5 linked regions of the Mus musculus genome follow. The protein of the gene in region 4 binds, or shares a complex with, the protein of the main gene of each other region. Links are inferred from orthologs where the notes say so. Each region holds a gene or a part of one and is shown on either strand. Other genes may lie near its edges. The genes, in order: Tmem107, Tmem67, B9d1, Tmem231 and B9d2.

The links.
Region 1: Tmem231 (region 4) and Tmem107 share a complex: the UniProt entries of both Homo sapiens proteins name them as parts of the tectonic-like complex. The link is inferred for Mus musculus from reciprocal best matches to the Homo sapiens genes TMEM231 and TMEM107.
Region 2: Tmem231 (region 4) and Tmem67 share a complex: the UniProt entries of both Homo sapiens proteins name them as parts of the tectonic-like complex. The link is inferred for Mus musculus from reciprocal best matches to the Homo sapiens genes TMEM231 and TMEM67.
Region 3: Tmem231 (region 4) and B9d1 share a complex: the UniProt entries of both Homo sapiens proteins name them as parts of the tectonic-like complex. The link is inferred for Mus musculus from reciprocal best matches to the Homo sapiens genes TMEM231 and B9D1.
Region 5: Tmem231 (region 4) and B9d2 share a complex: the UniProt entries of both Homo sapiens proteins name them as parts of the tectonic-like complex. The link is inferred for Mus musculus from reciprocal best matches to the Homo sapiens genes TMEM231 and B9D2.

Annotation. Positions count from the first base shown.
Region 1 is NC_000077.6:69,068,125-69,074,379, forward strand, and holds Tmem107 (transmembrane protein 107), read left to right. Parts: upstream 1-2,684; 5' UTR 2,685-2,822; coding exon 2,823-2,909; intron 2,910-3,099; coding exon 3,100-3,167; intron 3,168-3,249; coding exon 3,250-3,350; intron 3,351-4,298; coding exon 4,299-4,395; coding exon of another isoform or gene 4,396-4,474; exon of another isoform or gene 4,475-4,621; coding exon 4,622-4,691; 3' UTR 4,692-5,169; downstream 5,170-6,255. UniProt on the Homo sapiens protein: Plays a role in cilia formation and embryonic patterning. Requires for normal Sonic hedgehog (Shh) signaling in the neural tube and acts in combination with GLI2 and GLI3 to pattern ventral and intermediate neuronal cell types.
Region 2 is NC_000070.6:12,049,104-12,054,617, reverse strand, and holds part of Tmem67 (meckelin precursor), read left to right. Parts: intron 1-322; exon of another isoform or gene 323-471; intron 472-574; exon of another isoform or gene 575-843; coding exon 844-943; exon of another isoform or gene 944-1,031; coding exon 1,032-1,171; exon of another isoform or gene 1,172-1,336; intron 1,337-3,089; coding exon 3,090-3,230; intron 3,231-5,514. UniProt on the Homo sapiens protein: Required for ciliary structure and function. Part of the tectonic-like complex which is required for tissue-specific ciliogenesis and may regulate ciliary membrane composition.
Region 3 is NC_000077.6:61,502,557-61,508,811, reverse strand, and holds the start of B9d1 (B9 domain-containing protein 1 isoform 1 precursor), read right to left. Parts: upstream 3,669-6,255; 5' UTR 3,604-3,668; coding exon 3,541-3,603; exon of another isoform or gene 3,240-3,540; intron 2,469-3,239; coding exon 2,400-2,468; intron 1,185-2,399; coding exon 1,073-1,184; intron 1-1,072. UniProt on the Homo sapiens protein: Component of the tectonic-like complex, a complex localized at the transition zone of primary cilia and acting as a barrier that prevents diffusion of transmembrane proteins between the cilia and plasma membranes.
Region 4 is NC_000074.6:111,930,212-111,936,313, reverse strand, and holds the start of Tmem231 (transmembrane protein 231), read left to right. Parts: upstream 1-2,500; 5' UTR 2,501-2,547; coding exon 2,548-2,686; intron 2,687-2,784; coding exon 2,785-2,954; intron 2,955-6,102. UniProt on the Homo sapiens protein: Transmembrane component of the tectonic-like complex, a complex localized at the transition zone of primary cilia and acting as a barrier that prevents diffusion of transmembrane proteins between the cilia and plasma membranes.
Region 5 is NC_000073.6:25,678,765-25,684,942, forward strand, and holds the start of B9d2 (B9 domain-containing protein 2), read left to right. Parts: upstream 1-2,015; 5' UTR 2,016-2,214; intron 2,215-2,393; exon of another isoform or gene 2,394-2,618; 5' UTR 2,619-2,622; coding exon 2,623-2,710; intron 2,711-4,526; coding exon 4,527-4,652; intron 4,653-6,178. UniProt on the Homo sapiens protein: Component of the tectonic-like complex, a complex localized at the transition zone of primary cilia and acting as a barrier that prevents diffusion of transmembrane proteins between the cilia and plasma membranes.

The sequences.
Region 1 (6,255 bases), on a different chromosome or scaffold from region 4:
AAGAAGAAGAAGAAGAAGGAGAAGAAGAAGAAGAAGAAGAAGAAGAAGAAGAAGAAGAAGAAGAAGTAGTAGTAGTAAATAAATGTAGTTATAAGTGGTGATGAACACTTTTGACCCCAACACTCTGAAAACAGAGGCAGGAGGGTCTCTGTGAGTTCGGGGGCCAGCCTGATCTACAAATGTGAATTCTAGGAAAGCTGGCAGTACATAGTGAGACACTGTCTCAAAAACAAAACAAAACAAAACAAAACAAAGCAAAAAAAAAAAAACCCAACCAAACAAAAATGGCTATCTTGAGGTACCTTAATTAAAATAATTAACAGTCTTATTTTTAAAGACTTTTTTGAGACAGGATTTCACTGTGTACCCTACAGACCTGTCTGCCTCTGCCTCCTGAGTGCTAGGACTGAAGCTGTGTACCACCATGCCTGGAGATTTATTTTAAATATTGTGTATGTGCATTGAGTGTGAGTCCTTGTGTGTGTTTGTGTGTGTGTATGTGTGTGTTGAGTGTGATTGTGTGTGGTGTGTTAAGTGTGAGTATGAGTGTATGTGTGAGTGTGTGTGCATGTGTGTGTTGAGTGTGTGTGTGTGTGTGTGTGTGTGTGTAGTTTCCAGAAGAGGGCACTGGATCTGGAGATACAAGAAGTTGTAAGCAGCACCATACGAGTGCTGGGAACTGAATTTAACAAGAGTATTCTGTGCTCTTTCTTTCAACAGAGGGTTTCTGTGTAGCCTTGGCTGTCCTGCTTTGTAGACCAGGCTGGCCTTGAACTCACAGAGATCTGTCTGCCTCTGCCTCCTGAGTGCTAGGATTAACACCTGGTGCAAGGATTAATCACTAAGCCATTTCTACATTTTTTTTTGTAGAGACATTTTAGTTTTTTCCTTTTATTGAGCTGACTATATAACCTAGCATGACCTTGAATTTCTAAACCTCTTTCCCCCACCTCCCAAATGCTGGGACTATAGGTGTTTCCCCCTATCCAGCTTAAGACTCAATTTTATATGAAAAAGTTATAGTTTCACCATATAGGAGCTTGAGTGGAGCTCAGTAGTAAAGTAATCATTTAGCGTGGTCCATACCCTGTGTTTGATCCCCAGTGCAGCCCACAGGCAGAAGCTTCAATAAGTAGGAGCTGAATATATAAGGACATTCAATGCTATAGATTATTCTTTGTGTTTTAGAATGCCATTCTCTGCGTTGATAATACTATAGGGTCTCAGAAGGGAAGATGGGAGGATGGCTCAGTGGAGGGTGCTTACCTACCTATATGTAAGAGGCCTGGAGCTTATCTCCAATACTGAAAAAAAAAATCAGGAAATTACATGATTACAATGCTGTTGTTTAAGTTACAAACCCTATACAAAACTTGCCAAGCATCTCACCTCAGTCTTTTATAATAAAAGGGGGCGAGGGGGGGGCAATTCTTTTGCCTGGTTTGGGATCTCAGGTTCAGTTAGACACCCCCCTACCCCCCGTTCATTTAGAAGACCTCCAGTCTGTCTTTCATGACCTTTAACTGGCTTAGGAAAGGGAACCCCATGTATTACTTTAGGGAGACAGAATCATTTCTTCTTCTTCTTCTTCTTCTTCTTCTTCTTCTTCCTCCTCCTCCTCCTCCTCCTCCTCCTCCACCTCCTTCCTCTCTCTCTCTGCCAATTCCTTGAAACAAAAATTTAAGAAGTATCTATTTTCAAAGCTTCCCTTTGATATTATTCTAGTATTATCTTTTAATTTAAAAAAATTATAGCACGCATTACCTCGCTGGGTTTTGTTCTTGTTTTGGCTGTTATCAATCTCCCCACCTAGAATATAACCTGGAGGGACTTTATCGAGGTACTCTCAGATTTGGGGCACAGTGCCTGGCATCTGGGAGACATCAAATATTTGTTGAATAGATGAAATCCCTCTGGTCCTGAGCCTTGTCTTTTGGGCTGGTTTAGAGGCACAAAGAAAAAGGAATGGAGGGACCAGAGAGTGCAAGTGGGATGGGAGGTCCATTGACATGGGACTTGATTGTGAACTGGAAAGTGCTGAGAACTTTCCGATTCTCCGATCTGCAGGGATTTCATCCGAAGCCCCAAATCGGTCACATCACCCTAAGAAGAGGTTCTTGGTCTGTAACTGAGCAATGTCCGGGGCCTAACAACTCAGAGCAAGAGTGAAATCGGTGGTGGGTCAGCGTCCCAGCCTAGGCTAAGCGCAAGCAGTTCCAGTCCCCCGCTCCATTCTTCACCCTTTCAGATCCCCTCGGTTCCCGAGGCAGTCACCTCACCCACATCCAATTTTAACCATCCCAAGGCTGCTCATTTCTGCACTCGGCAAATCTCTCATGACACGGAGACAAGTTATTTAGGAAGAAATTAGAGTCATTCTTCGGCAAAGTTTTGCTCTAGGGCGGAAGGGGGAGTCCTCTGACAACCAGGGGCTAGGGGACTTAGCCTGACCCTGGGACAAGCTCGGTGCATCAGCCTCTCCTCGTTCGTCCCCTCGACTCCTAGCGCCCAAGGCAGTGAGTGGGAAGCACAGGAGAAGGGAGGATTTGGTGGTTCTGGCTGCATCCTCTTGGGTCCATCAACGGCTCACGTACCGCGCCTATAGACGTTGGTAGAGGGAGCAGCACTATCGCGAGACTTCCGAAAGCAGCAGCGTGGCGCTTGCGGACGCAGTTACCATGGCAGCCGGGCGGCGCCCGAGCGCGCGGGAAGGACACTTAAGTAGAGAGGTCTGGCCTGCTTGCTCAGGGAGACTTGATGAGTGACCCACCCCAGACTTCCAACCTCAAAACCCACGGCCTCCACTCGAGGCCCCCGAGGCCATGGGTCGGATCTCCGGGCTCGTGCCCTCTCGGTTCCTGACGCTCTTGGCTCATCTGGTGGTTGTCATCACGTTGTTCTGGTCCCGGGTAAGACGCGGACAGGGCGCGCGTGCGCGTGCCCTCCTGGCCCTCCCATTCTCATCTTGGAGTGGACCCAGCTCAGCTCAGTCCACTCACACAGGGTCCGTTCGTTGCTCCGTTCCCCGGCCCCTTCCCAACTTGTCCCCGCAGCCCCATTCCTCTTTTGACATTTCTTTCTTTCTGCCCGGCTCGCCAGGAAAGCAACATCCAGGCTTGCCTGCCTCTCAAATTCACCCCGGAGGAATACGAAAAGCAGGACAACCAGTGAGCTCTTGGGGCGGGGTGAGAGTGCAGGGGTCTTCAACAGAATCCAGAAACCTTGGTCCAAGCCCTTTTCTCTCTGCAGGCTGGTAGCCGCGCTCTGTCTCACCCTGGGCCTCTTTGCAGTGGAGCTGGCTGGCTTCCTCTCAGGAGTCTCCATGTTCAATAGCACCCAGAGCCTCCTCTGTATCCTTTTTATTTGGCCATCGTCCTCAGGTGACTCATCCCAGTTACCACTCTTTCCACCTCTGTAGGCCTTTGGGGCACAAGTGTCTGCTCTACATGGTAAACCGAATCTCTCTCTAGGTGAGAGGTTTTAGACACTGTTGGGGAATTAATAGACTTCAAACATTCGTTAAATCCGGATGTGAGCCAGGTTCTGGCGATCCCTGGATGGGAGTAAAATCATTTTATCCCGTTTGAAGAGGTGGCAGACAAACATCTGTAAATCAGTGTGATTAAACAGTATGCTTGTAGGTGTGTGTAAAATACAAAGCACTATGGGAACTCAGAAGGGACCAAGAAAATAGAGCCCAGGTGTGGTTCTGCAAGCCTTTAATCCTAGTGCACGGGAGGCAGGGGCAGGTGAATTTTTTGGGTTTTTTTAAATCTTATTTTACTTATATATTTAGGTTATCTAAGACAGGGTTTCTCTATGTAGACCTAGGCTGTCCTGGAACTCAGTAGACCAGGCTGGCCTCGAACTCCGAAATCCACCTGCCTCTGCCTCCCAAGTGCTGGATTAAAGGCATGCACCACCACTGCCTGGCTTGTTTTGTTTTGTTTGTTTGTTTGTGTTTTTAAAAAGGTAGCTCTTTACTCTTGAATTGTGGACAAGGAAGACCAGGGCACTGGAGAAATCCCCAGTGTATCAGATCTGTAGGTATTCTTGTGTGGCCTAGGGCATATATGACATTAACCTTCCCAGAAGTGTACAGAGTGTACAGGGAGAGGTCCTATCAAAGCAAACTCAGCTCTGGTCTCTTACACATAACTGTCCATAAATTCAGAAGGCATTGGCTGCCAACTCTGGCGCTTGTCTTAAGGGAAGGGTACAAGCTGAACCCAAGTCCAGGTACCAACGGGGCCCATCACGAACCGATTACTTTCCTTGACCCCCTCTGTATTGTTAAGCCATTGCAGCCCACTGTAGCGCGTCTGTGGCCCTGTCTTTCTTCGTATTCGAGCGATGGGAATGTACCACGTACTGGTACATTTTTACCTTCTGCAGGTGCCCTAGCACCCAATATTTTGGAATGGGGGGGGGTGGTGGAAAATCGATCCCAAATCTGAAGGTTTCCCCCACCTAGACCTTTCCTGCACATGTGAAATTGGTAGAGTTTTGAAGAGTCATACCCACCCTAACCCACCCGCATATAAGGTTTGGAGGTTCAAGTGTTTGGGTTGGAAGGGGCTCTAACTCCCCCCCCTCCCCCGCGGCCCCGTACTTTTCACAGCGCCTTCCCAGCTGTCACTGAAACTGCATTATTCATCGCTGTCTTTGGGCTGAAAAAGAAACCCTTCTGATCACAATCCGGGTGTAGGGACCAAGGCTGGAAAAGTGATGAAGCTTCCTCCCACTGCTGCAAGAAAAAGGCAGAGGCTTCAGTTTTCTCTCGCCCAAGTCCCTTGCTCCTCCCAACTGCGGCTAAGCAGAGGATGGCAGTGTTGGAATAAGATCTCTCAAATCTTGGATTATAATTTTATTAGAGTTTTGTAATAAAATTTATTTTATAACAAGAGCAAGGCGTATACTATTTTTCAGAAGACCATTGGATGGGCCAAGAGGCTGGTATAAATAAAGGCTTTTATCTTGTGGTTAGGGCTAGAAGTAATGCTTCTATTTGGGTTTTTACGCTAGAAGCTAGGCGGAAGTGAGTGGGCGGGGATATGCAAATAACTATCTCACATAGCGCTTCTAATTTGCCGCGTGTGAGGGGAGCATTCTGGGATGGTTTTGTTTCTCCCTTTTTGTGCCGAATGGAGAATAAAATACTTCAAACGACTTGCAAATAGATATTATTCTTGCGTTGCAAGAACTGTAAGTCACTGGGCTCGTGCTAAAGTGACGTATTCTCACCCTTCCTTTAATAGGAAATGTCTCTACTTATTTAGCAATGGGCTCCCTCTGCCTTTTATCGTCAGGAGGTTAATCCTTACCTGTTCCTCCTTTCGGAGGGCAGTAGAAAATGATGATTGGAGCTTGCATGATCTGCTGATTAGCATTTCCATGCAATCAGGACCTGACAACATCCTGGTTGCTCCTATCTGATTCCCTGGCGATCACACTTTTCCAATGTGCTGATTGGTAGACCTTTACAGCCAGACTGTGTGCTGTTTATAATTTGTCCTAAACTGGCCAGTCATAGTTTTAAGGTCTTCACTTCTATGGTAAACAATGCCATCAAGGTGGCTGTTGGTTGTTTGCCCAGCTCCTGGAAAGCACCCATGGCCACTCCTTATGCTTGCCAGGAGGTGCTTTCTGATAATTCCTTAACTATTACCTAAAGCATCTCTTGTCTTCTTCCCCACATTCAATTTAATGATCTCCTTACCATAGGCAAAGCCCTGTTAACAGTACTGAGAAAATAGATGTGATATGACCTATACTCAGCTTTGGCATACAGAGACAAAAAAGTTTTACAGTACTCCCAGACTTATTTAATCCTGTAAACTGTGGTACATGCTTAAAAAAAATAAGTTTCAGAGTCACCAAAATGTTACATATGTCTCAGCTATTGCTGAGAAACTTAAGTACAGCTCTGGGAGAAGCCCACACCCACACCCTTGCATTTGTCTTACTGAACTTGGAAAACATTTCTTTTTCCAGGAGCCTTACTGACAGGTTGCCAAACCGAACTCTTACTTAAATTAAACAGTGTGAACTTGCAATTAAGTAGGTTATATTTACACTGAAGATACAGCTAGCTCACTGGTAAGTGCATACTTGCTATGCCTTGAGGCCCTGAGTGAAATCCTCAGTGTCACAAACTTAAAGCAGCCAGGAATGGTGATCATGCCCACAATACCAGCACTCAGTAGACAGAAGCAGGCGGGCCACAACTTCAAGGCCAGCCTGGTCTACGAAGTG
Region 2 (5,514 bases), on a different chromosome or scaffold from region 4:
ATAGGAAATGTGCCTTTATTTATAAATGTGCCCATTTAAAGTTATACCTTAAATCATGTCTTCAAAGAAGTTATAAATTTGCATTAGCAATCATGACTTACAGCTAATTTGACAAAATGATATTTCAGTGTTTAACTTTTTCTATAAAATTACAATGGGATGAAATAGTGGATTTTGTCTCTTTGTTAATGAGGATTAAAAGCTAAGTCTGGTGATGTGTTGGAATTGTAGAAATCAGTATTAACTTTCCCTCCTCATCCTTCTGTGGCAGCCACCCCTCCAGCTGTGCCTTCCCCCTTGTAGCTGACAGCTCCACACATACCTATTTAGTAGCCACATCCCATTGTCTTTTGGACGTGAAGTCTCTGCTTTAGCCACTGAGAGAGGAACTCTTCTGCAGAGTTACCATCCTGTACTTGGTCAACAATGCACCCAGGATGAGAACTCGGTGTAGATGGACCGTTCCTGTAACTGAGAGAAAGATGTTCCAACAACACACGGCTTTCTAGCTCAGTTCCAGAGACAGGAAAGACAGCAGGGGTATCTACTGCTTCTACGGGGCTTTGCAGCTTACCTTTGTATAAAGAAGTCAGACAATGTGCAGAGCCTAGAGGAAGGGAGTCATTTATGCAAGGGTCCTGTAGGAGAGGGGGAGGGAGGATATCTCCTCTTTTCTCATGTTCCTATTTTAAGGGGGGAAAAAAAAGAAGGCGAATTAATAGGTGTGTGGCTTGGTATATGATGTGCCCTTGTGATTATACTTGCTTTGTAAAGAGTATGTAGCTTTATAATTGCTCTTGAGTGATGATTCTTTTCAAGTGTTTTGTTGTATGTTACTTTTAGGCTCTCCAGTTTTTACATAAGTTCATATCCCAGATTTCCATAGATATATTCTTTATTGATTGGGAACGGCCGAAAGGAAAAGTTCTTAAAGCTGTTGAAGGTAACTGAAATTGGTGTTTGTGCCATAATTCTCTTGCTGCCTGCAGCGCAAAGGGAAAGTGCTGTACTCACGTGATCTCCCCTCCCAGGTGAGGGTGGTGTGCGGAGTGCCACTGTTCCTGTGAGCATATGGAGAACGTATTTCGTGGCAAATGAATGGAATGAGATTCAGACTGTGAGAAAAATTAATCCACTCTTTCAAGTGCTTACCACACTCTTCTTCTTGGAGGTATGTATGAGCTATCATATAATCATATGATGCTGCTTATTAACACTGCATAAGTGTTATTATCATCTCAAGTAATTTCTCAGACAGCGCAGCAGTTTTCTGTGGTAAAGTATTGTTGGCAAAACAGTATAAGGAAGTGTCCTTAACATTCCCCCTTTGTCCTTCCTATAAAACAAAAAAAAAAAAAGCAAAACTTAAATACGATGTGATGGGGCCTTAGAAAGTTGCCCATCAGAACCACTTTTAAATGCGGAGGTCAGTGCTATAGGTATATCCACATTGCAACAAATTCTCACCACATCTGCCTCCAGAGCTCTGTCTTACAACCCAAGCTCGTTGTGCCTATGCAACAGTTTAGAAGCCCCCATTTCCCTTCCCTGCAGCCCTGGGTACCACCATTCTACTTTGTGCCTCCTAAAGCCAGAGTACCAGTGATCTGTGGCAGAATTGCTAGTGAACTTGTGTAAAATACCTGTGTTGCTTATCATTACAGATCAGTTGTAGTATCTTTCAGGTGATCCCCTCTATATATTATCAAAGCCTTCCCTACTATAGGATCCATATTCTCACCCCTGCCTTGGGACTATTGTACTATTTCTACACTATTGTACATTTTCTACTTGGGAATTTGAGGTGAAAGTGTCACAAGTTCAAGCTCTTGTCTGGCCTTGAGAATAAGTTCAAGGCTAGTCTGGACAATTTAGTAAGACCTTGTCTCCAAATAGTTATGGGAAGTGGGGCATGCTGTGCAGGAGATAGCTCAGTAATAAAGCATACTCAGCATCCAGGAGGCCCTAGGTTTACTCTCCAGCATATCCCTCCACACAGGTAATGTGTTTATAGTATACAGCATGATTTGTCAGTATACATATATGTTGTAGAATGTACACATATATTTTAGAATGGCCAATCAACATGTCTCTTGCTTCACATACTTATCTTTTCGGTAAGCAGTGTTTTGTTTTGTTTTAATACTGTTTGATGAAGTCAGGTATAGTATTACAAGATTGTAACCCCCAAGTCTCTGAAGGGAGAAGCAGAAGAGAGTCAAGAATTCAAGGTCTACACCTTGCTGGCCCAAGCCTCTTTTACTATGCCCAGTGTTCCACTCCTGAGGGTGGAGTCCTCCTGTCTTAACCCTCTCTCACTTTAACACTGTTACGTTGAGGGCTCCTTTCTAACACATGCTTTCTGGGATTTACTTTCAGACCATGACACGTAATATTATGAGATGATACAAGCTTGCAAGATGTCACAGTTGCTAATTACAGGCCACTTTTCAAGGTAGAGATTGTTAACAGCAGCACTTCTGTTCCTCACTAGTCAGTGACAACAATGTGTTCACCTTTGTGTCAGTGTTTCCAGTGTGACACTAAAAACAAAGGCACATAGCAAGTTCTAAAATAGCCTAGCCTAGGCTAAGGAGACCCAGCTTTAAATAAATAAGTAATAAAATTTGAATATTTGGTGAACTTGAAAAGGTTCTACATGATTCTACGGTTAACTTTGCAAAACACATAAATAAAGGTTTATGGGAACCTTACTGTAAAATTTTTTAAGCTCTTTGTTTTATTTTACATGGGGATGAAGCATGGCAGTCAATGTAGTATACTCACCAAAGTTATTTAACTACAGCTTCATTTCATCCAGAAGGTACATTTCTTGGAAGGCATTTTGGAATATATTGTTTTGAAATACAGAAAGTATTTAGCATAGTGTCTGGTATGTGTTAAATACTCATGAATTGCTACTTGTTTGTTTAATTTATTGGTAGATTTAGGTTTGGTTTGTGTCTAAGTTTCCTACGGCTCCTAAGCTTGTTTTTCAAGGCAGGTAGGTAGAGAAACGTATTTCATTTTCCATCTAGAAACTTCTCTTCCTATGTCTGTTTAAATTCTCATTTTTCCTTTTCCCTCAGGTTGTGGGATTCAAAAATTTAGCGTTAATGGATTCATCCTCCAGCCTTTCTAGAAACCCATCAGACTACACAGCTCCTTACAGCCGCATTCTGAGATATGCCGTGGCTACTGCTATCTGGCTGGTGATTGGAATAATACAGGTAGACGGCATTGCCAGTTTGGAACCCTGCTTGTGTTCCTGTGTCTCTCAGGTGCTGAGTTTCACACAGAAAGAAGGCACAAAGCAGTCATAGAGCTCTCTGTGCTGATTGTATCATGATCCAGGCATGTGCGAATCAGTAACTGCTTTATACACGCTAACTACTGTGCATAGACAGGTTAGTCAGCATCCTCCTGTGACAAGACAGGAGACAGGAGGCTCTGGAGAGTTGACAAGTTGCTAAAGGTCACACACATGGGAATGGCAAAACTGGAATTTGAACCCAGGCAGTTTGGGGTCAGAGTTCATTTTTTATCACTTGTGGCCTCTTTTTAGAAACTCAGATCCAGGGCAGATGTGCACTATATTTTCTTTCTCTTGTTTATATTTTTTATATAGAATTTTCTTTACCTGTTTGTTTAAATTATCATTTTCCTTTGGATTGGATTCATGTGGCATTCCACAACCTGAGGGTGGACTTTTCCCCCATCCTGAGAACTGATTTTTGGAATGTACATTTTTTGAGCATTGGTGATACTGTTCAAACTTGAAGCTACAGGACTGGAGCTAGTGAAAACTAGTAAACTTAATACCAGGAGAGAGGACACGCATACAATAGAATTTGAAATAAGACCCTTTGATGAGTGTGAGTTTGATGTTTGGAAGTATTGTGCACAGTCCACTGTGTTTTGTGAACATGGCTACTGCATCTGAATTTAAAATAGTATCATTGGAGGGAATTTCATGGAATTCCATCTGAAGCATTTCCCATTTCATTAAATGTAACAAGAAATATTTCCTTCCCCTTCCACATTCTTGTGAAAGAGCAGAAGCCATAGTGTCAGCTTGCTGTTGTCATCAGGGCCAAGGAGCCTGCTCTCTGCCATGTGGAGCCTCCAGCCCCGAGTCCATCTCCTGGGCTAACGGCCGATGGATAGAAGGGAATTAAATGGGAGTCTAGTTTTTTCCTCTCCCTTTTTGTGTAAGTCTTGGGGCAGGAGAAATGACTCGGTGGTTAAGAGCACATTCCATTTCGACTTTGTGGCTGTGACATACACCAATGACAAAAACAGCTTAGGGGACAAAAGATTTGTTGGACTTATACTCCCAGGTCACAGATGATCACAGAGAGATGTAAGGGCAGAAAATCCAGCAGGAACTTGAAGCCTCCCTGTATTGCAGGGCTGCTTGCTGGCCTGCCCGTGAACTCATGCATGACTAAGTTTCTCATACAGCACAAGACCACCTACCCAGAGAATGGTGCTGCCCAGAGGTAACTGGGCTCTCCTACATCAGTTAATAATCAGGGCAGTCCCCAGCAGACATGCCCACAGGCCAATCTGACCTGGGGAGTCCCCAAATTCTGGGTCATATTAAGTTGGTGATTTAAGCTAGCTAGACTCACCTTGGTACTCCTACAGAGAACCAGAACTGCAGTTTCTAGAGGATCGATGGCCTCTCTGGCCCCTGTAGACACCTGCATGCACATGCACATATACATGCTCACCAGCAGATGCACACACACTTAAAAGAAGTAAAAATTTTCAAACAAACCAAAAGAACAAAAAACAAAACACCAAAGAGCTTTTGTGAAGTACCACTAAGTATCTTCTTGGCTAGGAGTCATTCCTATGGCCATACCTAACTGTGCTGATGCCCTTCAACTGGGCATCAGTGTGTCCTGACCATAGTACAGGTCTGTGGCTAAGAAGAAAGGAGAAGGTGGCTAGGACAGTAACTGGCAATCTTGCCACCGCCTAACCTCATCCTGTGTTCCCACGTTGCCTTTAGACCAATAAGAAAGAAAGCCTTTCTGTCTATTCTAAGGATATCCCTCAAATATCTGTGAGTTCCTTTGCCTGTTCAAAAGCGGGTCTAATTGTAAGGGGAGATTCTGATACTAAGGTCTAGTTCCCTAATTGGTTCTTGATTTGTCAATAAAGAAGGCTGGGAGTCAATTGCTGGGCATAAGGTACAGGTGGGACTTCTGGGTCCCAAGAGGGAAAGGAGCCACAGGGAAGTACAGAAGGAGCCAGGGGGCTTTTCTGCCATGCTTTGGAATGAGAAGAAGGCAGCAATCATGTAAGGTCTCTGAGCAGCTAGGGCCTGTGGCCTCTGCTATGGGCAGATTGCCAAAGATTTTTGTCAGGGACTAGGTAGAACAAGCCACTAAGATTAGGGCGGGAGGAGAAACGGAGATAATAAATCGGTAAGGGCATGCCTTTCCAGGTGGGAGGTATCTACACCCAGAAATTGTGCTTAGCAAGTTAAAAGGTAACAGCTGT
Region 3 (6,255 bases), on a different chromosome or scaffold from region 4:
TTCGAACCCTGAGCCCTGCTTTCTTACTCACTGATTGATGCGTGTGGTTTTCACCAACTGTGATACCCTGTGGGAAATCATGGCTTTCCAGGTATTTTTTCCTTAACATATTGACGTTTCCAAATGCTTCCTTTTCATATCCAGTCAGGCCTTCTAAGGTGTCTGCCCTCTCTATGTAGCAGACAGATCTACTACTATCTGCTACTCTAAATGACAGGTAAGGCCTGGAAGTTGGCTCTGTAATTACTGTTGAACGGCCTCAGACAAGTCCAACCTTTTCTCTCATGACCTTTCTTGTGTCTAAAAGCCTTGGAATAGTACCAACCACAGGGGGTGCTCAGTAAAGGATGAAGAAATCTGTGCCTTCCACACTATTACTCTGCCACCAAAGGTAACCTGGGAGTTACTCAGATAGATAGTTCCTGTATAGTGGCTTGTTCATTCTCGGTGCCAAATATCTGACCACCACCGTATACTGCAGTTAACTGTGATTGTGGGCACATGAGCTGTTCCTTTGAGAACTGTTGCAGTAAGTCTCAGATCAGTCACTCACGGGCTCTTGTCACACTGTGTGCTCTTCTCTGTTGGGTATGTGCTTAGAAAGACTCAGGCAGGCAGGTACAGTACTACAGTACACTCAGTGTTCTCTGAACTGCCTTGAGACTACAGGCTTGCTAACCTTGGCAGATCAACCTTAGCCTGCCCTGGTTGATCTCCATTGTTCTGCTTGCTTTGCAAGGACGCAGATTAGAAACCGAGGGGCTATAGGGGAAAGCTTCACCCAGAACACGAGCAGAAGGCTCAGAAGTGGGCCCTGAGCAACTAGTACAGGATGAGCCGATACTGGAGCTGACTGGAGCACTACAATGGGAAGCTGGACAACTTGGGGTCAGGCCACGTGGCTGCAGCATTGCAGGCTCCATGTGCAAACTGCACTTAACAAAAAAGGCAGATGTTGAGTGCATCAAAAGCTGGGGCACAAACTCAGACACTGGCAGGGCAGCCTAAAGAAGGAGAGTGGTGGCAGATGCGGCAGAAGATCTCCCCCTTCCAGCATGGCCCACAGACTCACAGCCATAGGGGTTGGTACTTTTAAAGGTCACATCGATGGGGAAGTTCCACACCAGTGCTTGCCGTACATCTTGGCTCTTAGATGCTATCTGTGAGATCCCCTCCTCCAGACCCTGAATAGACATAGATATAGAGATAGCTGGTTTGAGTTCCAGGAACCCATGACCTTTCTGTCTAAGTAGGCAAGTTGGGGAGGTCACTTAAGTTCTATGTTGCTTCTTTCCACTCTCCCTTTAAATATTTATCCACAATGCCTTGGTCTAGATTCTTCCCTCCCAGTTAGTCATACACTCTAGCTCCTGATCCACTCCCTCTTCATTCCACCCATCTTTGGCTAACAGACCAGAATGTATCCAACTTAGTGTCTCCTTAACAAGAACAGATGTCTCTACAAGATGGGGGCTTCTGTCAGACATTGGTCACTCCCAGAGGACTCAAATAGTCATGAAGTTACAGATGGTTGTGAGCCACAATGTGGGTGCTGAGAATCAAACTGGGGCCCTCTGCAAAAGTACCCATTCTAACTGTTCAGTCATTTCTCCAGCCCCAAAGGCAGCTTACAACATCCTATAATTACAGCTCTAGGGGATCTGACCTGTGGCCTCAATAGCCACTTGCATTCATACCCATACACAGATATATACACACACATAATTTAAAATGGAATTAATCTCTAATATATATTGAAAGCATTAGAAAAACCAAAAAATATTAACATGTCCGTGATACAAATGAAGAAACTTGGGCTCAAAGAAGTCGGGCTTTAATTTTATTTTTTCCATTTGTTTGGTATTATATATGTAGCCCAGCTTGACCTTGAATTCCTAGAGATGCTCCTGCCTCAGCCTTCTGTGCTGGATTACAGGCATATGCTATCCTGTTTGGCTTCCACTTTTTAAACTATTGTATAGTATCATAGTGGTCTGCACTGCAGCCGCTTCCTGTGGTAAAAAGACTCCTTAAAACCTTAAGAAGAGATCCTTCATTTTGTCCTGGCTCCTGGTTGTTTTCTGCTGCCTGAGAAGGGGCCATGTTTTGTTTTCAGGTGGGGGTATTGGCTGATGCTGTCCAAAGCCACTGGCAGGTGGTTCTCCAGAGCCTGCCTGGTTAGGCTGCTACTTGTCCCTCTCAGCTGCCACTAACAGACTCCAGGGGTACACCAGCGAACCCAGTAGTGACTGTATTCTATAAACTAGCTTTCCCCCAAAAACAAATGCAATGTTTAGGTCATCTCTGACCTTAGTGTCTACCTCTTGGTCTCGAATAGAAGGGTATGATTCAGGAATCACCAAAGCTCTAACCAGAGGAGGCCCATGAGTCCAACTTACCGCTGTTGGGGCCCAGTCCTGGCCATACACAAAGCAGTACTTGCAGTAGAGGTCATCATACTCTGGAAACTGAGAGAAAAAGTATACAGGATTCTGTCTAGAAAGGGCAAACTGGGCCCACACATTAGCTAGGCAGATGCAGTGGACAGGAATTAGGAACACGAGGCATCTGGGACTGAGGAGGTGGACATGGGTTTCAGGGCGGGCAGGGAATGGAAATCAGGAAGTCAGGCTTAGTCCCAGACTGCCAATACCCGTAGGTTATTTTGCTCAGGGTCTACTTTCTGTCTTGTCTTTCTCAGTCCACATGTGGTAGGCCCCTTGCCCATCTTTCAGAGTTCCCCTTCAGTCTCTAGCTGGCTTAAGGATCATTGCTTGGCTCCCTTCACTTCTCTGCATTTCTGCATGTGGGTACCTAATGTCTATCTGATAACCCTGTTAGACTGAAGAAGGAACAGGTTTCATGCCTCAGCGCATCTCCAGTGCTGGGCACAAATTAGCTCTACAGAAATGATGCTCACGTGAAACCCAGAAGCTACAGGGCCAAAGAACATGGCTAAAACTGAGGGTCCCGGAGAAAGGAAGGCCCAGGGCAGACGCCAAGGAAGGTGTCCAGAGTAAGCAGCCCAGACATCCTCTAATCGGATAGAGGAAAACAGGGAGGACGCAGTACCAATGAATGGGAAGGCAGGAACACCTACTGAGCTTCAGACTTGGCAGAACCTAAAGCATGTCAGCCAAACCTCAGAATATGTAGGAATAATGGGCATTTTCAACAAGCAGCCCAGAAGAATAATGTAGCAAAGTTCTGTCTCTTAGACGGACCGGGTCAAATCCCACCTTGGCCACTGCCTTCCGGTAAGTTCCCAGCTGTTAAATGGATCAGCTGAGTCTTCAGTCCCATTAGTCCTAGGCCACCACTCAACCAAGTAAACAGGATCCAAGTGGTACCAGCTGAACGCCTCGAGGTCTGTTTTCACTCAAGCTTGTCCGGTTCATCTACCTGGAGCCAAGGTTCTCAAATGCTGCTTCTCCTTTCCATTTATTTGAGATGCTCAGAGCATCTTGGCTTTCTAGGAGCTGAGCGAAGAGCCCGGGGAGAGAAACAGGCCGTCCCCGGGCGGAGTCCACGACTGCTTACCTGTGCGCTCTCTACCTGCCCGGTGATCATGAGCAGGAAGACGCTGGGACTTGCTGCAGCCATTGCACTGATGGGCCGGGAGACCGGCGCAGGCCGCGCGCTGTTGCCAGGAGGCTCTCGGTTGTCTTGGAAACAGACGGTAAGTCGTCTAGGACAAATTTCTCAAGCGGTGACGAGTTCGCTCAAAGGTAAGAGTGCGCAGGCGCAGTAGTCTTTATGGCTTTGGGCACTGTCCTCCGTGTCTGTCGCGCGGAACCTAACCCCCAGGGGCGGGTCCACGGACCCGCACTGTGTGACTTCACTCGTCTGGCCATGCTTGAAGCTCGCAGGCTGCAAAGCTGGATGTTGAGAAGAAGCAGCACCGGCACTCAGGCCCGCGGAAAGTCACGTGCTAGAGTTACCTCTCTCCAGGTGGTGTCGCTGTTGCCACACACAGCGACGGCAAAGACGCCATCGTTGGAAGGCTTGGTGCGCGGGAGTGGTCCAGCGGGCATCACCCAGCACATTGTCTCAGGTGAAGAATGCGCCCTTCAGCCCTATGAGGCTCTTGTCATCGAAACCCGGAGACTCCATTTGTCCAAGTCCCGCGTCCTGCATGAGAAGCTGGAGCCCACGGAACCAGTCACCCAATTTTGGAAAATCACTGGTAGCTCAGGGATGTCAGAGCTTGGTCCCAAGCCACCAGCATCCTTTTCGGTAGACACCATTGTTAGTGCTTGGATTCAACTGCACTTACTCTATCACTGTCCAATTCAAGGTGGCTTAATGCGAGCTTCTTGCCTTTAGATCCCCAGCTCGACTCTAGGGGCATTGAATGCCTGGTCCTCATTGCCCGGCCAGTGCAAAATATTTGGGAACTACTTCTTTAATAAATAAAATTGAACACATCTCAGTTTTCTGGAGGGCGTGACTGAAATCCAGACCTGGAAGGTAATTTAGCCATATTCGTTACAGGAATTTAGCTGCAGAATCAGACTTCACTTTCAGAGCTTATAAGGAAACATCAAAGAGCACATTAATGATGAGGGAGCCTGGAAACAAACGGATGCAGATGTGTATACTTTAGGGAGCTCAGCCTGCAGTAATGACACCAGGTCACGCTAACTGTTAGCTTGGAAGTCAGTTGGCGGGATTCCCAAAGCCACCTATGGGGAAGAGGAAAGGCATGTGGTCACAGCGTTCTAGGTGGGCCGAGGTGCAAGCATGTAAGAAATTCTTTTAGCTTAGAGCCAAGAGTCATACAAGCAGAGGCTCTAGGCCCCTCTCTCCTAGCCGGTGGCTGCCACTTGCTGTTCTTTACTGAAAGCGTTGGAAAGATACAGGCTACTGAAAGGAAGCCTTCTCAATCCCCAAATTACTCATTAGATAAGGCTTTTCTGTCCTAAACCAACAGGATGAGACATTTAGGAAGAGGTCTGTGCTGGCTAGTTTTTTTGTCAATTTGGCACAAGCCATAGTTATCTGAGAGGAGGGAACCAAGATTGAGAAAGCCTCCATGTGATTGGGCTTGTAAGCCTGTTGAACATTTTCTTAATTAGTGATTGGTGGAGAAGGGCCAGGCCCACTGTGGATGGTGCTACCCTAGGCTGGTGATCCTGAGTTCTATGAGAAAACAAACCTGGGGATGATTTCAGTCACTGGTACCTGTACTCTCTCAGGCCTTTTCTGTCCTGTAGGAGAATGTTCCCATCTAGTTACTAAAGGCATCCATAGCAGGAGATACCGTATGCTCCTGGTTTGGGCATATGAGTGAAGCCATAAGTCTTCATCAAGGAACCCTCATTTTATAAAATGTTTCATTCTCCTTATCACTGCAGAGGTAAGATAATGAAAAGCATCCCCAGGCTCTCACCCAGCAGCTGTAGAGTGCTCGAGGACCCTGGTAGATGTTCTGGTGAGTTTTATGTCAATTTGACAAAAGCTAGGGTCATCAGAGAGACAGGAGTCTCAGTTAAGAAAATGCCTCCTGGGGGCTGGTGAGATGGCTCAGTGGGTAAGAGCACCTGACTGCTCTTCCGAAGGTCTGAAGTTCAAATCCCAGCAACCACATGGTGGCTCACAACCACCCATAATGAGATCTGATGCCCTCTTCTGGTGTGTCTGAAGACAGCTACAGTGTACTTACATGTAATAAATAAATAAATAAATAAATAAAAGTGTGTGTGCACCACCAATATCTGGCTGATATTGTTTAAAAAAAAAAAAGAAAAAAGAAAATGCCTCCTTAAGATTGGGCTGTAGGTGAGCCTGTGGGGCATTTTCCTAATTACTGATTGATGTGGGAGGGCCCAGCCCACTGTGAGCTGAGTCCATTCCAAGGCTGATGATTCTAACTTCAGTAAAAAGCAGCAGATCCCTTCACCCCATGGCCTCTTCATCAGTTCCTGCCTCTATGTCCGGCCCTGTTAGAGATCCTATCCTGACTTCCTTTGTTGATGAACCATGATGGGAGTGTAAGCTGAATAAATCTTTCTTTCTCAACTTGCTTTGGTCATTGTGTTTCATCACAGCAATAGTAACTAAGACAAGTTGGTACCAGGAGAGTGGGGCATGGCTGACAGACCTGACCATGTTGTTTTCGGGAGGACTGTGGAGAGACTTTGGAGCTTTGGGTTTGAAGAGCCATTGAGCGTTGAGAGCTCAGTGAGCTGGTCTGTAGGAAGATAAGAACGTTGAGAGCAGTTCAGATGATGGAGGCCTGGCTTGTGACGTTCC
Region 4 (6,102 bases):
ACAATATAGCCAAGACTGGACTTGAATTCCTATGCTTGTGGTTTATACATTCATGTATGTGGATGCCTGTGCCCACGTGTATAGATGTGATGGTCACAGTAGGATATCAGGGGTCTCTCCCTACCACACATCATTTATTCCTCTGAGACAGGGTTTCTTATTGAATCTGGAGCTAGTCTAGCAGTCACCAAAAGCCCCAGCCATCCTGAAATTACAGGCACACACATCCTGATCTGGCTTTTTCCTGAGCTCCTGTTTATGCTGCCAGTGTTCTTTCCTACTGAACCAGCCTGGCTTGGATGGTTGTGCTAGTTTCATGTAGCCCAGGCTGGCCTCAGGCTTGCTTTGTAGCCAAGCTTGGCCTTAAACACCTGATCCTCCTGTCTCAGCCTTCAAAACACTAGGATTTCAGGTATGAACCCCCTACTCCCATCTGAAATACATAGTTGGAAGGAAATGACTTTATCATCTTTTGAGGCAAACTTCAGGGACAGGAGAACACAATGTAGATTGGGTTGGTCTGGGACTCACAGAAATCCACCTCCCTCTGTCTCTGCTTCTGCCTCCCCAGTGCTGGGAATAAAGGTATACACCACCACACCCAGCTAAGGCTAAACCATTTTATACTTCTAAATTCGTAACAGTCACCTCCCTGTCTCACCGGTGACTTAGCGACAGTGTATGTTTCCTTCTGTCGACTCTTTGGAGGCAAACATTCTCTTACTCAGAGAACAACCACCACAAAGAATCTACATTACATTCAGCCATTCCAAAACGGTTATTTAAGCACAGTTTTTATTTTTTAATTTAAAAATACATTTATATTTCCTATTATTATTATTATTTATTTTTTGAGACAAGGTTTTTCATTGTAGCCTTGGCTGTCCTGGAAGTCACTCTGTAGACCAGGCTGGCCTAGAACTCAGAGATCTGACTGCCTCTGTCTCCTAAACACTGGGATCAAAGCTGTGTGCCAACACCTTTATTTTAACTACATGTGTTTGGGTGTTTTGCCTGCGTGTGTGTCTATGGACCATGTGTCTGCAGTGCCCACAGAAGCTGTTGGATCCCCTAGGACTGGAGTTACAGTTGGCTCTGAGCCCCTGTGTGGGTGCTGAAAGTCAAACCTTGATCCTCTGGAAAACCGGCCTCTCCAGCTTACTTACATGTTACACTACATTTACTTATTCATTATTTGTGCATAGATGCAGATGAGCACCATGACAGGCATGTAGAGGTCAGAGGACAGCCTTTCCAGAATTAAGATAGATGGTGGGAGCTGGAGAGATGACCCAATTGTTAAGAGCACCGATTGTTCTTGCAGAGGACCTGGAGAAAGGAGAATTGAGGGCCAGCACAGGCTACATAGTAAGACCCTACTTCCAAACAGGTAAAAATCTGTCTTCCATGTTAAGATATTGGTGTTAGTATTTACCTAAGTGATCAGCTAATGCTAACTTTGGGGAAGACAGTATCAGTGTTTATAGCTAACAAAGTACAACAGAAGGAGCCATTTAGTAAAATACCCTTTAACCTTTTTTTTTTTTTTTTTTTTTCCGAGACAGGGTTTCTCTGTGTAGCCCCGGCTGTTCTGAAACTCACTTTGTAGACCAGGCTGGCCTCAAACTCAGAAATCCGCCTGCCTCTGCCTCCTGAGTGCTGGGATTAAAGGCGTGCACCACTACGCCCGGCCTTTTATTTTTTGTTTTTGTTCTAACCTTTAAATAATCAGGGGGTTTGTTTCCTGTTTTCTATCTTTCCTGCTATGGGGCATAGTGAAAGCATTAACCTTGAAGACAAAAGTACCTGGTTCTAGGACGGTGGCCTTGTTATAGGAATGTCCCGACTTCAGTATGAACCTCAATGGAGTTTTTGCATTGAAACAAAGTCTCCAGTATCTCTGGCTGGTCTCAAACTCACAATGTAGCTAAAGATGACCTTGGACTTCTGATCCTTCTGTCTTCACCTGAAGAGTTGTTAGTGTTACAGATGTGGGCCAAGGTGCCTGGTTTAATGAAGTGCTGGAGATGAACTCAGGGCTTCCTGTATAGTAGGCTAGCCCTCTACCAACTAAGCTACATCAACCATCCTTATGTCATGAGTTAATAGATGATCTATGGGGTGATGTCAACATCTATGCACGTCTGATTTTGTACAATTGACACAGACTTTGGTGAGTGAAAATATCATTACAGTTGCTTTCTTTTTTTTTTTTTTAAGATTTATTTATTATATGTAAGTACACCACTGTAGCTGTCTTCAGACATTCCGGAAGAGGGCGTCAGATCTCATTATGGATGGTTGTGAGCCACCATGTGGTTGCTGGGATTTGACTCAGGACCTTTGGAAGAGCAGTCAGCGCTCTTACCGGCTGAGCCATCTCACCAGCCCATACAGTTGCCTTCTTGAAGAGACGCGCAGGCACAGCACTAACACAGGACCCTCCTCCTGCTAGCTCCACCCCCTTCTAGAGGCCTGCATGCCTGCTATTGGTTCCTCTGCCCGCCGTCGGTTGCCGTGGAGACTCGGCGCTGCGGCCCTGCGCTCATGGCGCTGTACCATCTCTTCTCTCACCCAATCGAGCGCGCTTACCGCGCGGGGCTCTGCTCCAAGGCCGCGCTCTTCCTGCTGTTGACCACCGCGCTCACCTACATCCCCCCGCTGCTGGTGGCCTTCCGGAGCCACGGTGAGCCTGCCCGGGCCTGGAGGGCCACACGGCGCGGCCGGCGGGCCCAGGCCGGCAATCCTAACCTGGCTCCCCCCAACCCGCCTTGTCTCCCGCAGGGTTTTGGCTGAAGCGGAGCAGCTACGAGGAGCAGCCGAACGTGCGCTTCCAGCACCAAGTGCTGCTCGTGGCTCTCCTGGGGCCGGAGCCTGAAGCCTTCCTCGCCTGGAGCACGTTCCCCACCTTCAACCGGCTGCAGGGGGCTCACCTGCGCGTCCCGCTCGTGTCGGTGCGTGGTTCCCGCCCGGATCCTGGGGGTGATAGGATGGAGTGAGATCCCAGTTTGGGTCATTTGACCGGGTGTGAGAGCAGAGTCTCGTGTATCCCAGGCTTGCCTTAAACTATATAGCCAAAGTCGTCTTTCAACAACTGATACTCGGCCTTCACCTTCCCAGTGCCGGGGATTCGCTATGCAACGCCCTGCTGGGGTATATGGGGTGCTGGGAATCAAACCCAAGGCTTTGTGCTTGCATGCAAGGACTTAACCACTGAGCCACTCTCAGTCCCACAGCTTGGATCTTAAGGAGCCACGAGGGTTGGAAACAAAAGTCCCTTTGGCCTGCGCATGCTTAACTTTCTAGATAGTTTTATTCAGTTTCTCCAGGTTTCCCTAGAAAGGCAGCCGTGCAGGCACTGTGTTTGCCGGACAACAAGAGTCCAGAGCCTGTTTCTGGTGCTGGTCATTTTCTGAATGGAAAGGTGGCTGAAGAAAAAACCCCTTTGAGGGCTTGTAGGCGGAGTTCTGTACACCCCAGTACGCTGCTGAGTTTGAACATCACCAAGCTGTAAAGACAGAAAGTACCAGTGTTTTTATGCAGACTTGATGCGGGGTAGGGCGGGGCAAGCGGTGATTGGTTGAATTCTCAGGTCCTGCTCTAGCCAAGCCACGCCTGTCTGGGTTAGGCTTCTCAACTCTTTGCCACACTGCAGCTGTCTCCTGTGTAAGGGAAACATTTTACTGGCTGCAGTTTAGTGTTTACTTTCGCATAAATCAAGTGCTTCCTTACGGTCATCCCTTGCCGTTCATATAATGACATGGGCAGAGTGATGACTTTAACTAGGTGTTTGTTAGTAAATATTTTGTTTCTAACCTCCACCTGAGGCAGGATTGCCCCCCCCCTTCCCTGACCTATACAGCAAGCTCAGGGCTATTCAGTCTCAAAAGCGTAGCGCTGGCATGTAAAGTCAAAAGACAACTTGGAGGGGTCAGTTCCCTCCTGTCACTGTCCCGGGAATCCAGCTTGGATTCCCAGGGTTGGCTGCAGGAGTCTTTACCTGCTGAGCTATCTCATTACCCATCCTTGATTTTTTTTTTTTTTAATTTGCTCCAATCGTTTTACTATTAAAATTAGTAAGTGAATAAACAAAGCTTTAACTAAATCCTACAGCTTTTTTATTCTTTTTGAGATGGGTTATTGCTATGTTGCCTGCCCAAGCTGTAAGCCCAGTTCAGCCAGCTACGAAGCTGGGACTACAGACGTGAGGCCCAGACTTAAGTCATGCACGTCTGAATGCCAGTGGAAGCGTTTTGTTGAAATTTCATGCACTTAGAGAAAACAAAGCAAGCAAGTAAAGTAATTGTTAACTGCAAGGAAATAAGCCACGAGAAGACGCTAGGAAGGATGCGCAGTCAAGGTTGCGAACCGGACTTGCGTAGTAGTCTTAGTTACGACATGAAAGGCTGACTAAGCAAAATGCGCACCTAGGGAAACTGAAGGGATGAGAGAGGGGGAGGTGCGATGGGGCCTGGTGGGAGTGGGAGGGGAGCGCAGGCTCCAGCTTCCCCCGTGGAATGTCAGTAGAGGATTCTCATGAAAGAGGTGGAGACTCGGCAAATCTTATTTAAACATCTGGAAAGCGTTTCTTTCTATTTGTTAGAACAGGGTTTCTCTGTGTAGCGCTGGCTGTCAAATAACTTGCTCTGTTGACCAGGTTGGCCTCGAACTCAGAGATTTGTCAACCTCTCCCTCCCCTCTGCTACTACCGCCAGCCACCCAGCCTGGGGAGGGCTTCTAACACACTCTCATTAGGTAACTAATGCAAAAGTTTTTGCTTTGGAAGTTTTGTTTTGTTTTAACATCATTGCACTCTTTTATTCTTCAGATGGTCAAGACTCTTCCCCCAGGCCACCAACACATACCCTTTTAGTTTCTTGAGACTGCATGTCATGTCATCCAGGATGGCTTGGTTTTGTAGCCTAGGATGACCTTAAAGACTTTGTGTTTCGGTCTTCCAGCCTGTGCCTGCTCAGCGCTGAGACTGCAGTTGTGAGCCACCACGCCTGCTTTTACTATTTATGTACTTACCTTGCTGCTTTGCTTATTTTATTCTCTGTGTGTGGGTACTTTGCCTACATGCACATATATGTATACTATGTGATGCCTGGTGCCTCGGATCCCCTGGAACTGGAGTTATAGACAGTTGTAAACTGCCCTATGGGCCCTGGGAATTAAACCAGGATCCTCTAGAGGAACCGCCAGTGCTCTGAACTGCTAAGCCAGCTCTCCAGCTCCATTTATTAATTTATTTATCCCTAAGACAGGGCTTTGTAATGAAGTCCAGCTATGGGCCAGGTTGCCCATATGGATCTGGTGATCCTTCTCTTACTAACTACGAAGATTACAAGCAAGGCCGGCCACACCTGGCCCCATTTTTATTCTCAAGCCTCTAATGCAATAGAGCCTTCCTAGTGCTTCCATCCTTTAACACAGTTCCTTATGCTGTCGTGACCACAACTAAAAAATTATTTCATTGCTACTTCATAACTGTAATTTTGCTACTTTTATGAATTGTAATGTAACTGATATGCAGCCTCTGTGAAAGGGTCCTTCAGCTCCCCACCTCCCCAAAGAACTTGAGATCCATAGGTTGAGAAACTCCGCTCTAAGGCCTCTAGAGAAGAGTGATTGGGTGAGGGGCCAGGGTAGAGGTGGACCTGCCCTTCCCTGTGTACTCACTCACTGAGCTTCTTAAGATCCACACTTCATGTGTTTTCTTTCCAAAGGTGAAAACAAACAAAACCTATCGCTTCTCGGCCTTTTGGCTAAGATCAAATGTAAAAAACAAACAAACAAAAACCTTAAACAAAATTAGCTCTAGTTTTGCTGGGTGGTGGTGGCGCACTCCTTTAATCCCAGCACTTGGGAGGTAGAGGCAGGCAGATTTCTGAGTTCAAGGCCAGCCTGGTCTACAAAGTGAGTTCCAGGACAGCCAGGGCTACACAGAGAAACCCTGTCTCGAAAAAAAACAAAACAAAACAAACAAACAAACAAAAATTAGTTCTAGTTTTACTTTAAGACAGTTTTTTATTTGTTTGTTTGTTTTTAGTTGGCTGATTGGTTGCTATTTATCTTTGAGACAGGGTCTCTCTACATAGT
Region 5 (6,178 bases), on a different chromosome or scaffold from region 4:
AGGTCCTCTGGAAGAGAAGCAAACATCTTAACAACCAAGCTCCCTCTCCAGCGTACTTCCTGATTCCTAGGGGTTCTTTGTCCTCCCTGGAATGTTTCCATGAGGAGTGAGCAGGTACACAGCCTATCCATAACCTGTGCCTTGTTTTCTTTGGGCATCAGGTATATTCGGTTTATGAAATCCACCGAGACGTTCGCTTACTGTGTGTGCACTTTTCTGTACCTAATACTTACAAAGTGATGTTCTTGAAGAAGGTGGTTCAGATCCTTCTGTTCCTAAAATGAGTCAGTGGCAGAAGAAAGCAAGGTGTGAAGCCCTATTCCAGCTGCCATGGAGAACACCATGGCAACCACGTGGTTCTAGACTCCCATTTCCAGTGAATACCTGAATAAAGTGTGGGCTCTAGTTACACTGAATGCACTGTGACACTCCAAAGGAGGGAAATTCGGACACACACTTACAATGTGGATGAGCCTGCATGACAGAATTACTGAATTAAATAAGTCAATACAACAAATACTGTATGGCCTGGAGAAATGGCTCAGTTGGCAAGAGCATAGTGTGCTCTCGCATAGGTCTCAAGTTCCATTCTTACCGTGTGTCCTGGGTGGTCACTACTGCCTGCAATGCACTCTCCAGAACGCCAGATACTCTCCTGTAGCCTTGGCAGGCACTGCATGCACCTGGTGCTCAGATATACGTGAAAAACACCAGTGCAAACAACAGATGTTTAAAAAGCAAGCACACAAAAACAGTGGTGTTAGTGTTGGTAACACATATCCTGAAAATTGGAAGGAAAAAAAAGTGGATAGCTTCTAGGGACAACCTTGGAGGTTGGTGAGCTAGCTTCTGGCCTCTACATATGCACCATACAAACAACCACCCATACACCTGAACACACCACACACACACACACACACACACACACACACACACACACACCACACAGACGAGCTATCTTCTGGCCTCTACATATGCACCATACAAACAACCACCCATACACCTGAACACACCACACACACACACACACACACACACACGACTTAAGTTCTTGTTTTAGTTTTAGTTTGTTTGTTTAAGGGGGATTGGCCTGGAACTCACTTAATAGCCCAGGCTGGCTTTAAATTTGCAGCATTCCTCCTGCCTCAGTCTCTCATGAGCCACAATACTCATCATAAAATTTTTAAAATTTGTTTCCGACTTGGGAAAAAAATATATATATATAAAGGAGAGAGGCTTTCTTCCCTGACTTCCTGCCAAAGGGGCTTCTTCCTTCCTTTTGTAGGATTTATTTTTATTATTTGTGTATGCCACCTGTGCGCGGGGCAGGGGTTGAGGGTGGGAAGTGTCCTCTGGGACGCCAGAAGAGGGCAGAGTTGGAGCTGGAGTTACAGAATGCTGGGAACCGAACTCCAGTTCTCTGGAAGTGAGGCAAGCGCTCTTGTTGCACCATCTCTCCAGCCCCGTCTTCCTCATTTATCTTTACTCCAACCTGTTTGTTCAAAACCAGCTGCTAGAATGAACTTTGCAGTGACTCTGAGAAAGAACTTGGACTTCTCAGTCCTTGAGAAATCTGAGGAAGCTCTGAAAACTGAAGAGAAACCCACTTCCCAATTTCTCTAGTGTCAGAATATGGAGGTCCTTTTTTCCCCTCCAGCTACAACATAGAGATGACTACTATGGGAGTCCCTTTAGGTGCCCGTTTAGTGTCGGCTGGCTCCATTCTGGCTGTGATCCTGAACAGGAAAGGTGTTTTGTTTTGAGGAAGCAAAGAGCATCAATAGATTTGCTTATTGCGTGAAGAAGATATGGAGAGGAAACAGTTGGCGTTCTAACTTCCTCAACTGCTGATAGAGATAACCCGCCAGGCCTCCCACTCTGGGGCGTAAGGCGTCGCAGGAGCAAGACCTATGCAATTCTCGCAAAAAAGTCCCGAATGACCGCGTCCATCACGACTACGCCCCGCCCCCCAGAGGGCAGCTATAGCACCAATCATCAGCACGCAGGGCGGGCTCAGGGGAGGAACCTGCTGTTGCCCCAGCAACAGTCGGGGCACCCCAGGAGAGCGAGGCTGCGGATCTATCTACCTCAGATCTCCCTCCGCCTGGAAGGGCCCGGGAGGGGAGCGAGACTAGTCTCGACGGCGCCCGCAAAGAAGCCCGTGAACTACCATCCCCGAGGCAGCTTTCACTTCTAACGGTCAAGTACGCGGAGGTAGGAATGACGCATGCGCTACGCCTACGGGCAAGGGTAAAGCGGCCCTACACCCGAGACGAGACGCATGCGCCTTTTGAAGCTTGGCTGATCTGCCGCGAAGGGGCGGGGCCTTGCACATGTGGGCGGGGCCACAACCCTGGGGCGGGGCTTTCTAAGCGTCTGAGCCTTGGTTTATTTATTGGTGCAGGTTCCCACACCTCTGGGAGACTTCCCCATTTTTCTTGGGCTTTTCTGGGGACGTGGCTTGTATCTGTGATGAAGGCCACATTGTCAGTGGGTTGGTGGAACTAGCTTAGAATCACAGTGCTGTTCTTTATGTGATAGGCTTCAGTTTTCCCAGCTGTCAGATGGAAATAATACAGTTACCTCACAGGGTTGTGATTGAATTTTTCCTTTCCTAGAGCCATGGCTGAAGTGCACGTGATCGGGCAGATCATAGGGGCCACCGGTTTCTCGGAAAGCAGCCTCTTTTGCAAGTGGGGCATCCACACAGGTATCCTCCTCACACCTTGTTCATCTCCCAAACAATACCCAGCTCCCTCCCCTAGCCTAAGTCTCCATGTTCCTTCCTCGATTCTCCAATGAACTCATACTGTTTGCTTCTCTTTATCCTTGTCTTTCATGTTATCTCACCATCGGAAAACATAGCCCCTAAGCATATGGGGCTGTGACATAGAAAACACGCGCGCACACACACACACACACACACACACACACACACACACTTCCTGTCCTCAGGCCAGTAGACAAACTAGGTGTGCTTATGCATATCTGTAATTCCAGCACCTAGGAAGCCTTCTATTACAAGTTTGGGGCCCTGTCTCAAAGAAAAGAGCACAAAATATATACAAGATTATTGTAAGTTCTAGGGAAAAAAAGAAAGTGATGTGCTGGGGGCTGATTTGGGATGTGGAGGTCTGAGATCAGAGAAAGCCTTTCTGTGCAAGTGGCACTTGAATTGGGGGGCAGGAGGAAAACAGCCGGAAATGGGCACCCAGTAGCAGACGTTTCAGGGCAAAAGGAACAGCCGCTGCCAAGGCCTTGAGGCAAGGGAACAGGATGGGACCAGTGAGGCTTGAGGGTGGGGAGCGGCAGTGGCAGATGAGTGACAGGATCCAGGTCACACATGGGCCTTCGTGGCAACAGTGAGGAGTCTGAAAGCTTCGTGTGTGTGTGTGTGTGTGTGTGTGTGTGTGTGTGTGTGTGTGTGTGTGTTGGGAGGGGGCAGTTAGAATCCCAGAGAGCAGATAAGGTGAAGGCATTGCCCAGAGCGTTTAGCAGAGCATCTGGGGTGTAGTGCTCAGTATGTGGGCACTGCTTCTCCTTGCTCCTCACTGGGGTTGTGATGTGCTCGCAGATGGTGCCCAGTCTCTTCTTGGTCTTTGACGGAGGCTTCTGAATGTGGGGTGCATAGAGGAAGGAAAATGCTGGGGATCTCGTCACCCGGGGAGCGTAGGTCATCCTTAGCTACGACAGAGGTTTGAGGCTAGCCTTGGCTATATGAGACCTTGTCTTAAGAAAGGAGGCTCTCTGTTGGTGCTGAGAGTGCAGCTCATCAGCAGAGCATAGAGCGTGTGCCTCTGGATCACATCGCCAGCTGCAGTCATGAGGATTAACAAGTGAATAATATTTTAAAAATTCATAGTTCATCCTTGCTATGTGAGTCCTCTCATAACTTGTGAGATTGTGTTTTTTGTCGCTTGTTTTATAGACAGGGAAACAGAGAGAAGCTACTCTGCCAGGGTTGCATCAACTTGGGCTGGGGAGTGTAGACTGTTGCTAGAGAGCTCTTGCATATGTACTGCTCTAGGTTCCATCCCTAACACTGCAAAATACAGAACACATATATGAATCGTGCCAGGATTTCTACACGGGATTCTCTGTGTAGCCCTGGCAGCCCTGGGAACTCCTTCTGTAGACCAGGCTGGCTTTGAAGTCACAGAGATCAGCCTGCCTCTGCCTCCCCAGGGCTAAGACCAACTGTGTGCACCACCACTGCCTGGCTTTATTCTCTCTCACGTGCTCTTCAACCCCTCCAATTTTTCTTTAGAGACTGAGACCCACATTGTAGCCCATGCTGACCTGACACTCATCAGGCAGCCCAAGAAAGCCCCAAACAAACTCCCAAGTGCTGAGATTTCAGATGTACACTGCCAGTGCCAAGATCTGGATCCAGACACTTGGCTCTAGAGTCTACACTGTGTAACTCCCACTCCCAGATACCAGAGGGAACAAACTCATTGCCACGGCAGGTCCCCTTCTTGAAGGTTGCTATCCCCCAAACCCTGATGTCCTGGTTCTCATTACAGGGGCCGCATGGAAGCTCCTCTCAGGTGTACGAGAAGGCCAGACACAGGTAGACACACCCCAGATAGGGGACATGGCTTACTGGTCCCACCCCATTGACCTGCACTTCGCTACTAAAGGTCTCCAAGGTGGGTACAGGATGACAGGATGGGGAGGGGCAGTCAAACTAAGAGGAGCTGGGCTTGGAACACCATGGCTGTCTGCTCCCTGTACTTTGTGGGTCCCTTTTCTGGTACAGCCTCCCCTAGAGCAGTGCATTTGAGGCCTCACCCGAGCTATTCAGAACCCTAGGCCTGTGGAATGTGCCGGAGGTTGGGGTAGAGAAGATATCAGGAAGTGGGGGTCAAGTGGGAGGGGCCTTTGACTAACGGCCACTGAGGAGGCTGCATAGGGTAAAGAGAGATAGATAGGGAGGAGAGGGACAGGAAATGGGCCAGTTGCCGTTGCTCACACAGGCAGAGGTTCTGCTCAAAGGGGAAGTGAGTCTTCGAGGGAGGAGGAGGGTATCATGTCAGTGCAGCTTTTCTGGTTAAAACACAGCAGATTCTGGGAATGAGGACTGTTGACTGAGCCTACGTCTGTCCAGCTTGAGCAGGGACATCCCCAACTAAGAAGGACCCTCCAAGCCCTGTCATCAAGGGTTCCATTATAGGTAGAAGATAGACCTGTTTCCAAATGTGGCCAGCACAGAGGCCCTGGAAACACAGAAGTCATCTCTGATTGGTCCCATGGCCTTATAGGGCAGAGCAGTTAGAGTTCTGCTGTAAAGGGCCAAGAGAAGCTAACTAGGCCCAAGGACAAAGACAGAGGGTGGAGTCAGAGAGCTGGAGCCAGGTAGAAATGGGGAGGTGTGTCCTGGGTATTCGCTGTCTGTGGGTGAGAAGGACAGTGGGGGATGAGGCGGCAGGGACAGAATGTAAGGCCTCGCCTGCAAAGGCACTAAGACTGATTCTCGAAGGCTCTGGGGAGCCCAAGAAGAAATGGATGGATCAGATTCTCCTTCTGAACAATTGTACTAGTTTGTGAGGGTGATACGTTGGAAGTTTTCCTCAGTCCTGGCCTTAGCTGTCTTCCTCCCTGTTTGCTTCCTTCTTAGTCTCTCAGCTCACCAACAAACCCTGGCGGCTCTGAAACCCACTTTTGTTTCTCACCCCATCCCACCCAGCCTTCTCTGTCCATCTTCTCTTTCCGGGACCATTTTTTGTTTTTTGTTTTGTTTTGTTTTGTTTTGTTTTTCAAGACAGGGTTTCTCTGTATAGCCCTGGCTGTCCTGGAACTCACTCTATAGACCAGGCTGGCCTCAAACTCAGAAATCTGCCTGCCTCTGCCTCCCAAGTGCTGGGATAAAAGGCGTGTGCCACCACGCCCAGCCTTCTGGGACCATTCTTTCTTTCTGTCTTCACTGTGCTCTCAGGGTTGGATACTGGACTGGACCCTGGGAGGACCTAAATACAGCATGTTCTTCCTCTGTATGGAACCTGCCTGCAGGCCTCCTATCGCTCAAGAGAAAAGCCGGAGCCTTCTCTGGCGTCACAGGCCTATGGAATCTGGCTGTCACCTCTGTCCTTTGTTCCCCACGACTCCCCGTTCTAGCCTCATTGGCCCCACCAGGCTAGCTCCTACTTCGGAACTTTTGCACTGACTGGATCTGTCA